Linked DNA regions of Ovis aries. The protein of the gene in region 1 binds, or shares a complex with, the protein of each later gene. Links are inferred from orthologs where the notes say so. Each region holds a gene or a part of one and is shown on either strand. Other genes may lie near its edges. The genes, in order: EDAR and EDA.

Region 1 (3,234 bases):
AGTTCCTGCCTGGACATAGACAGACGTGTGGAAGATTCAGCCTGGAGTCTCCCCACCACCACCCCTGGAGCTGTGATGTGGAAATTTGCTCTCCCCAGAGGCCCCACGGGGCACTGCCCAGGTCCAGGTCCCACAAGGCAGGGAGGGCCGGCCTTGGATGTGGGGCTCACTGTCCCCACTCAGGCAAACCTGTGGCACCAATGTCCCCAGACCCAGAGAGAAAAGCAAGACAGGAGGAAACATGAGAACAAGACCTCATGTGCCAGGTTGCTTCGGTCATGCCGGACTCTTCACAACCCCATGGATGGTAAACAAAACGAGATCCTCCCTACTAACCCCAAACCTCAAGTCCTGCCTAAGAAAGGCCCACCATCGGGCAACTTGATAGGACAGCCTGCCTGTGGCTCAGCTGACCACAGAACCAGATTCCGAATCACCCTTGCTGGGAGATGCCTCTTACGTTGGAGCGGAGTTTATGAATCACAGTTAAGGGAAGGTTAAAACCTCATTTCTGTTCTAACACCATTTGGTCACAGCTATTTTGGAAACTTGTCAAAGGAAAATCCTGGAGAAAAATCCATCAAAATGTCAACTCTAGACCTCAAGACTGTGGGTGAACCTTTTGCTTCTCTCATGTTCTGATGTTTTCTCAATGTTTGATCATGTTCAGTTCAGTTCAGTCGCTCAGTCATGAGTGTGTATTAAAAGTATTAACAGTCCATCCCTGTTTAATTAATGGAAGGAACCACTCTGGTGTTCCCCCAAACTCACATGCACACCTGCCCCTCACCTGCTCATGGGGACCAAGTCTGAATCTTGGATGGAGCAGGTGTGACTCCGCGTGTCCAGTGTAAGGAGCAAGGGCCTGGTGAGGTCAGAGGCTCTCGGGGATGAAGGTACCGCCGGCCCAGCCCTTTCCTCATGAGGATCTTCCTCACGAGGACTCTGGACCCCTGGGGCCGGGCTCCCCCTGCAGGCTGTGCTCCATCTCCAAGGCTGGGGCAATGGGGGTCTCTTGAGGGACCCACGATCGGTCACTGCTGTCCCTGCAGGTGTGGGAGCCGCCTCGGGAGTTTCTGCCAACTTCCCCCGCACACCTGGCAGCAGCACCCTGTCCCCACCGCAGCTCGCTCACAAAGGTAAGGGGGGCACAGGTGCCAGCCCCAGCGGGAGATGAGGATAAGGGGAGACAGGCAACTAGCAGGACAGGACCTCCCACCTCCCTCACTTCCCTCACGTGACAACCACACTGGGAGTTAGTGATTTCTCTGTAAGAGGGAACCAGTCCCTCCACGGATGTTGGGGTCATGGGGGGCACATTGGTGATCCGGGCACATGAGGTAGGGGCCGGAGGGAGGTCAGCCCCCTGGGCTTTGGGCCTGACTCAGATGAGCCTTGGTGGCTTTAAGTAAACCTGCTGACCTCACATTTTACTCACCCCTAAGTCCTCAGGGGTGGGGCTGCAGGGCCCTGGCCTCACTTTCTCTTGGAGCAAAACTGGGTGCTGGGCCCTCCCTCACAGTGCTCCCACTCTGCCTGGCTTGAAAGCACCTTCGGGCCGAGATCTCAGGCTCAGGCACCTTCAGAGTCCCAGGGCACAGCCTGCCAGCTGGACCCCTGCCCGCACCCATGGGGAGCATCAGGGCAGGGCCTCCACTGAGGTCCTAGACTCACTTCCTCCAGGACAGAGGTGGCACCCCACAGACGGGCACCAGGCCCACTCAGACCTGCTTCCAGACACACCCCACCTGGGTAGGGGGGATGCGTGCCCACTGCCCACTCGAAGCGGGGAGACTTCCTTGAGGTCCAGACACCTGGACGGGGTCCCTTCCATCCAGGTAGGGGGCTGGATCCTGCTCGGTTCTCTCAGAGAATCAGGACAGGTCTCCCTTCCTGGGGAGATGTGGGCAGGGCGCTGAGCAGGGGAAGCAAGGGGTGGGCCCTGTGCTGCCTCAGCTGGTGGGCCCTGGCCGCACAGAGCCCAAGGCTGCATGAGGTGTTGGGACCAGCCCAAGAGCCTGCCCTTGGAGGCGATGCTTCTACCCAGCCTTTGTGGGGAAAAGTCTTGGGCTAAACTGTCTTCAGGACAGTTTAGCTCATGGGCTCCCTCCCTCCAGTCCACTTGCTGGGTCCCCAAAGAAACAGAACTGATGGCAGACACCCCGGGAGCAACCGCGGGGTCTGCCGCTGCTGACCAGCATGGGGCCGGACTGGTGGTCCCGATGTGATGGCCAGAGCAGGTGTATAGGGCTCAGTGCTCGGGTGAAGCCAGCGTTTGAAATTCCAGTGGTCTGCTGGAGGGCTTGGTGGCAGGGCCGCTGCTCACCGTGCCACAGCCTTGCAGGGCAGGGGCCTGATCCCTGAGTCCTGGCCTTCTCTCCCGACTGCAGCAGAGCTCTCAGGCCAAGGACACCTGGCCACCGCCCTGGTCATTGCCATGTCCACCATCTTCACCTTGGCCGTCGCCATCGTCCTCATCATCATGTTCTACATCCTGAAGGCCAGGCCGTCTGCCCCCGGTACCGCTCCGCCCCCCACACCCCTCACCAGCCCCCTCTCCCTGATGCCGGCTGGCCACTCATGCCCCCTGTCCCCTCAGCCTGCTGCCCCAGCACCCCCGTGAAGAGCCCAGAAGCCCCCGTGAGCGAGGAAGAGGAGAAGAAAGAGGCCCAAGGTAGGCAGCAGCCTCTGAAGCCCACAGTAGGAGGTGGGGGGCTGGAGCACGGCCCCCCCAGCCCCTAAGGAGGCCGGCCCCTGATGCCCCCTCCCACCCCCACCCCCACAGACAACGTGGTGATCTTCTCCGAGAAGGACGAATTCGAGAAGCTGACAGCGGCTCCAGCCAAATCGGCTAAGAGGTGAGTCAGGGAGGCAGCCCGGCTTAACTGGGGGCGGGGGGTCTTTGGGGTGCGAGCAGGAAGAGCAGCTGGGCCTGTGGGGGCCACAGGGTGGGGCGGTGGCCCAGGGTCCTCAGTGCCTGCGCCCCTGCCTGCTCTCCCCTGGGGCCGGGAACCGCTGGCTGTTGGCTCCATGTCTCGATCTCCAGCGGGCACAGGGTGGGGCTTGGTCTCTGTCACCCAGTCACCAGCACATACGGTCCTTTGTTCTTAAATAAGTCTTCAGCCAAACCACAGGATGCAAGCAGAATGCCTATAAGGTTGTTTTCCATCTGTGTGGGATGATTCTGGGGGCATGACTAGGGCCATGGCCCTGGGCGAGGGACAGGGTGTGACT
Region 2 (3,813 bases), on another chromosome or scaffold:
GGAAGCAGCCGCCCTCCTGTGACCACCTGCAGTTCTTGAATTGGACTGCACAGAGGAGAGGAGGTAAACAGGAAGGACTGGAGCTTTCAGTTCAAGGCCACAGTTAGAACCTGGTTAACATAGTTCTGGTGGGAATATGGGAAGGACTGGAATGTGGAATAGAAGGCTGAGACTGCTCTGAAAAGAGAGCAAGGAGGAAATGGGGAGGATCTGGTGGCTTGATTAATAAATACATTCAAGAATAGGGCCTCTGAGGAAAGAAGACTCTGGGAAGCTAGATTATTTAGCCTATAAAAATAGAAGTTGATAGGTGACTTAATGTCCTTGAGCACATTAGGGTTATTGTCTGTATGATGGCAACTATTCTTTTCTACCTATACAAACAATAGTATAAGAGCTTAAACTTCCACAGGAGGAATTTCAGTTCAATATACAGAAGAGCTTCCTAACAGTGAGGGGGTGATAAACATTGGAACATGTTACCAAGGGATTCTGCAGAATTTCCTTTCCCAGAGCTCTTTAAAAGTAGAGTTTAGAGAGGTGAGCTGAGAAAGCAAAACCTGCCTGCTGCTTCCTCCACAGCTCAGCTCCCTCTGGTCTCCACTACCCCTTCTTTCCTTATGTTACTTGAGCCTTCTCTCTCGCTCTTTCTCTCCTCCCTCCCCCAACCACCTCTCATCTTCCCAGACTCCTTCCAATTCTACTTTCCAGCCTCATCCTAGCTCAAGTCCCTGTACATCCTGACTCCTAGAGGAAGCCTTCCTGGAGCTGATAGTCATCCTAAGGTCAAGCTGGCCTCCGAGCTTGCTAGCCTCATCCACATCAAGCCCACCAACCTGGATAGTAAACATGAGAGCCACGCTCTGCAACAGTAGCCCAGTTCTCAATTGTAAAAAGTGGCCCACTTTTTAAGGTCTACCCACTTGGTGATTCTGATCCTTTGGACTTGGCCAAACGGTAACCTCCTTTTTTAAGCTTCCTGACCTCTCCAGCATTTTGTCCCTACAATTAATGCAACATTTCTACTGTCCTGTGACTGTGTCTGTTTCCACACAAGACCAAATTCCTTGAGGGTCATTATTTCTTCAAACCCAGCCTGTAAATGCTGATTCATGAAACAAAGTGTGTGTGTGTGATGTGTGATAACAGTATACACCTCTTTAAGAGCAGGAACTCCCGGAGGGCCAACTTTGTGTCATGAGAAAGCTGTGGAACTCCCGACAGTACACTCAGTCAGTAATTATAAATGTGATACCGAATCTCATCTTTCAGGAAAGAAGGCAGGACCTCCTGGACCCAATGGCCCCCCAGGACCTCCAGGACCTCCAGGACCCCAAGGACCCCCAGGGATTCCAGGGATTCCTGGGATTCCAGGAACAACTGTTATGGGACCACCCGGCCCTCCAGGTCCTCCTGGTCCTCAAGGACCCCCTGGCCTCCAAGGACCTTCTGGTGAGTTCCTCCATCTCTCCACCATCCTAGGTTCCTTAAAAGTTCTCTAATAGAACAGGAGCAGGTGATCCCAAGAGCAGTTTAAAATAACAGTATGTGGTCTCCTTGCTCAGTGGAGAGCTAGGAATTGGACAAGCCAGTAGAACCTGCCCTGCTCTAACTTCTTATTTATGGGGCTTCCCAGGAGGTGCTAGTGGTAAAGAATCTGCCTGCCAATGCAGATGTAAGAGACACTGGTTTGATTCCTGGGTCAGGAAGATTCCCTGGAAGAGGGCATGGCAACCCACTCCAGTATTCTTGCCTGGAGAATCCCATGGATAGAGGAGCCTGGTGGGCTACAGTCCTTAGGGTCGCAAAAAGTCAGACACGACTGATGGTGTGTGGTCTCCTAGCTCAGTGGAGAGCTAGGAATTGAACAAGTCAGTAGGGCCTGCCTTGCTCTAACTTCATATTTATACCAACCTGTCAAGGAAGAGATACCTGTTCTTGACCTGTGGATTTTGTCTCCCGATTTCCAGCATCTAGCCTCACATACTGATGTTTGATTAGAAAAAGGCAAAGGGTAGGAATGGGCTTCCCTAGTGGCTCCCAGGTAAAGAACTCATCTGCCAATGCAGGAGATGCAGGTTCGATCTCTGGCCCAGGAAGATCCCCTAGAGATGGAAATGGTAACCCACTCCAGTATTCTTGCCTGGGAAATCCCATGGACAGAGGAGCCCAGTGGGCTACAGTCCATGGGGTCACAAAGAGTCAGACACGACTTAGTGACTAAACAATAACAACAACATGGAGAGGAAAGTTCGGGGCTGGACAGAATGACAAGCCCTAGAGTAGTCTCATCCCCTGAACTCTGAAGTGCCTTTCCCATAGAGCTAGACCAGTAGTCACTGATAATCAAGGAGTTGGAAACTTATGAGTCACTCAGGCTGTGGAAGAAGCAGACACAGGCACCAAGACCAGTCTGTTGAGGAATCAAGTGCTTACTGTGCTACATCCTTCCCCTACCACGTTGCCCATTTGAATAGCATTTAACCTCTTTGCATCTTTCCCCTTGGGCCCAGAAGGCCATCCCAAAGGCACAGATGCAGATCCAAACCTGCCTAGTCAGAGTTGACAGGGGTCAGACTGCCGGGGCTTAGGTCAGCTGCTGTTTCCTTCTCCTGCTCCCCTCATCTTGGGGCTTTTACAGAAATGGACTCTTCACAGCTGATTTCTCTGGGTCCAAGAATACTGCCACAAGACTCATATTCTTTGACTGGTAGTTCAAACAGAGCTAATCAGTGTCATTGTGGCCCCAAGAAATGCAGTTTGGAATTTTTTTTCATCCCATCTTTCTACAAATATTCATTGCATACTTTCTATGTGCAAGAGATATATTGACTGGTGGAATTTATGTCGTACAGGAGAATGACAATTAAAGAAGCAAGATGTGTACAAATGGCAATGCATTCTACAGAGAAAATTAATAGAAAGAGAACAAAAGGCTAAAGAAGCAAGTACCATTGTCTTGGGGTCCCACGGTGGCAGGAATGCACTCTCCTCTGTCACCACGGGTGCTCAGTGGCACTTGCCTTGGGCCATTGTTGACGAGGGGCCAGTTTCCTGCTGGGTGCTGGGCGCATTGAAGATGCAGGTCAGGGACAAGTCAGAGAAGAAAGGGGTGTCATCTCCCACTCCAGAGCCCCGCACCCTGACTCCCTCCAGCTCTGAGTTGTGGAAAATAAGGCTCAGTTGATGCTTGGCAAAAGGCTCAGACTGAGCCTGGCTTGGCTCAGACAGGGAGCAAAAGCTCAGTGCCATTGGCTGCCTAGATGAAGAGAAGCAAGTAGACAGAGCATGCCCTCTGACTGGCCTGTCCTATTTTGCAGGTGCTGCTGATAAAGCTGGAACTCGAGAAAACCAGGTTGGCTGGGAATTGCTGTCTTGCTGGGAAGAAGGGAAGGCCACCCTTGAGTTTGCTCCCTGCTAAGTTTGCTGAGGCTTTCTTTTGTGAGGAGACCCTGGAGGTTCTGGGGGCTTTTCATTCACAGCCCCCTCCCATGAATAGAAAAACTTTGCCCTAGGGCCTGCTTTTAGCAAGAGAACTGAGCTGTGGCTATTTTTCCCCATTCCCTAGGAGACAGAGGGTCACCACAGCCAAGCCCAATAGTCAGCTGACATGAGCTGGCAGTGAGGTCTATTCACCTGGTCCTGGGCCTCCCCAACTACACCAGACACCTTGTCGGCATTCCAACCACCTGATGTCAGCAGCTTAGAAGTTTAAGAATATGTTCTTGAAAATCAGCCAACCAGTTCCAGGTCAAGCCCAGCCTGGCCTTCTGCCTTCACAGCCTGAAGGGCTCCTCCCTAGTCTCTGAGCTT

Evidence for each region.
Region 2: the proteins of EDAR (region 1) and EDA are in contact, whole or in part, in a crystal structure (PDB 7X9G), measured with the Homo sapiens proteins. The link is inferred for Ovis aries from reciprocal best matches to the Homo sapiens genes EDAR and EDA. Residues at the interface, in NP_071731.1 of Homo sapiens: Glu55, Pro56, Tyr57, Leu58, Lys78, Ile86, Arg88, Arg89, His90, Asp92, Glu94, Gly95, Phe97, Val134; in NP_001390.1 of Homo sapiens: Gln256, Ser258, Ala259, Gln261, Asp265, Asp273, Arg289, Tyr310, Tyr311, Lys340, Thr341, Tyr343, Ser370.

What each region holds. Positions count from the first base shown.
Region 1 is NC_056056.1:62,139,138-62,142,371, reverse strand, and holds part of EDAR (tumor necrosis factor receptor superfamily member EDAR), read left to right. Parts: intron 1-1,052; coding exon 1,053-1,139; intron 1,140-2,390; coding exon 2,391-2,519; intron 2,520-2,599; coding exon 2,600-2,674; intron 2,675-2,785; coding exon 2,786-2,858; intron 2,859-3,234. UniProt on the Homo sapiens protein: Receptor for EDA isoform A1, but not for EDA isoform A2. Mediates the activation of NF-kappa-B and JNK. May promote caspase-independent cell death.
Region 2 is NC_056080.1:62,926,816-62,930,628, forward strand, and holds part of EDA (ectodysplasin-A), read left to right. Parts: intron 1-1,272; coding exon 1,273-1,452; intron 1,453-3,320; coding exon 3,321-3,355; intron 3,356-3,813. UniProt on the Homo sapiens protein: Cytokine which is involved in epithelial-mesenchymal signaling during morphogenesis of ectodermal organs. Functions as a ligand activating the DEATH-domain containing receptors EDAR and EDA2R. May also play a role in cell adhesion.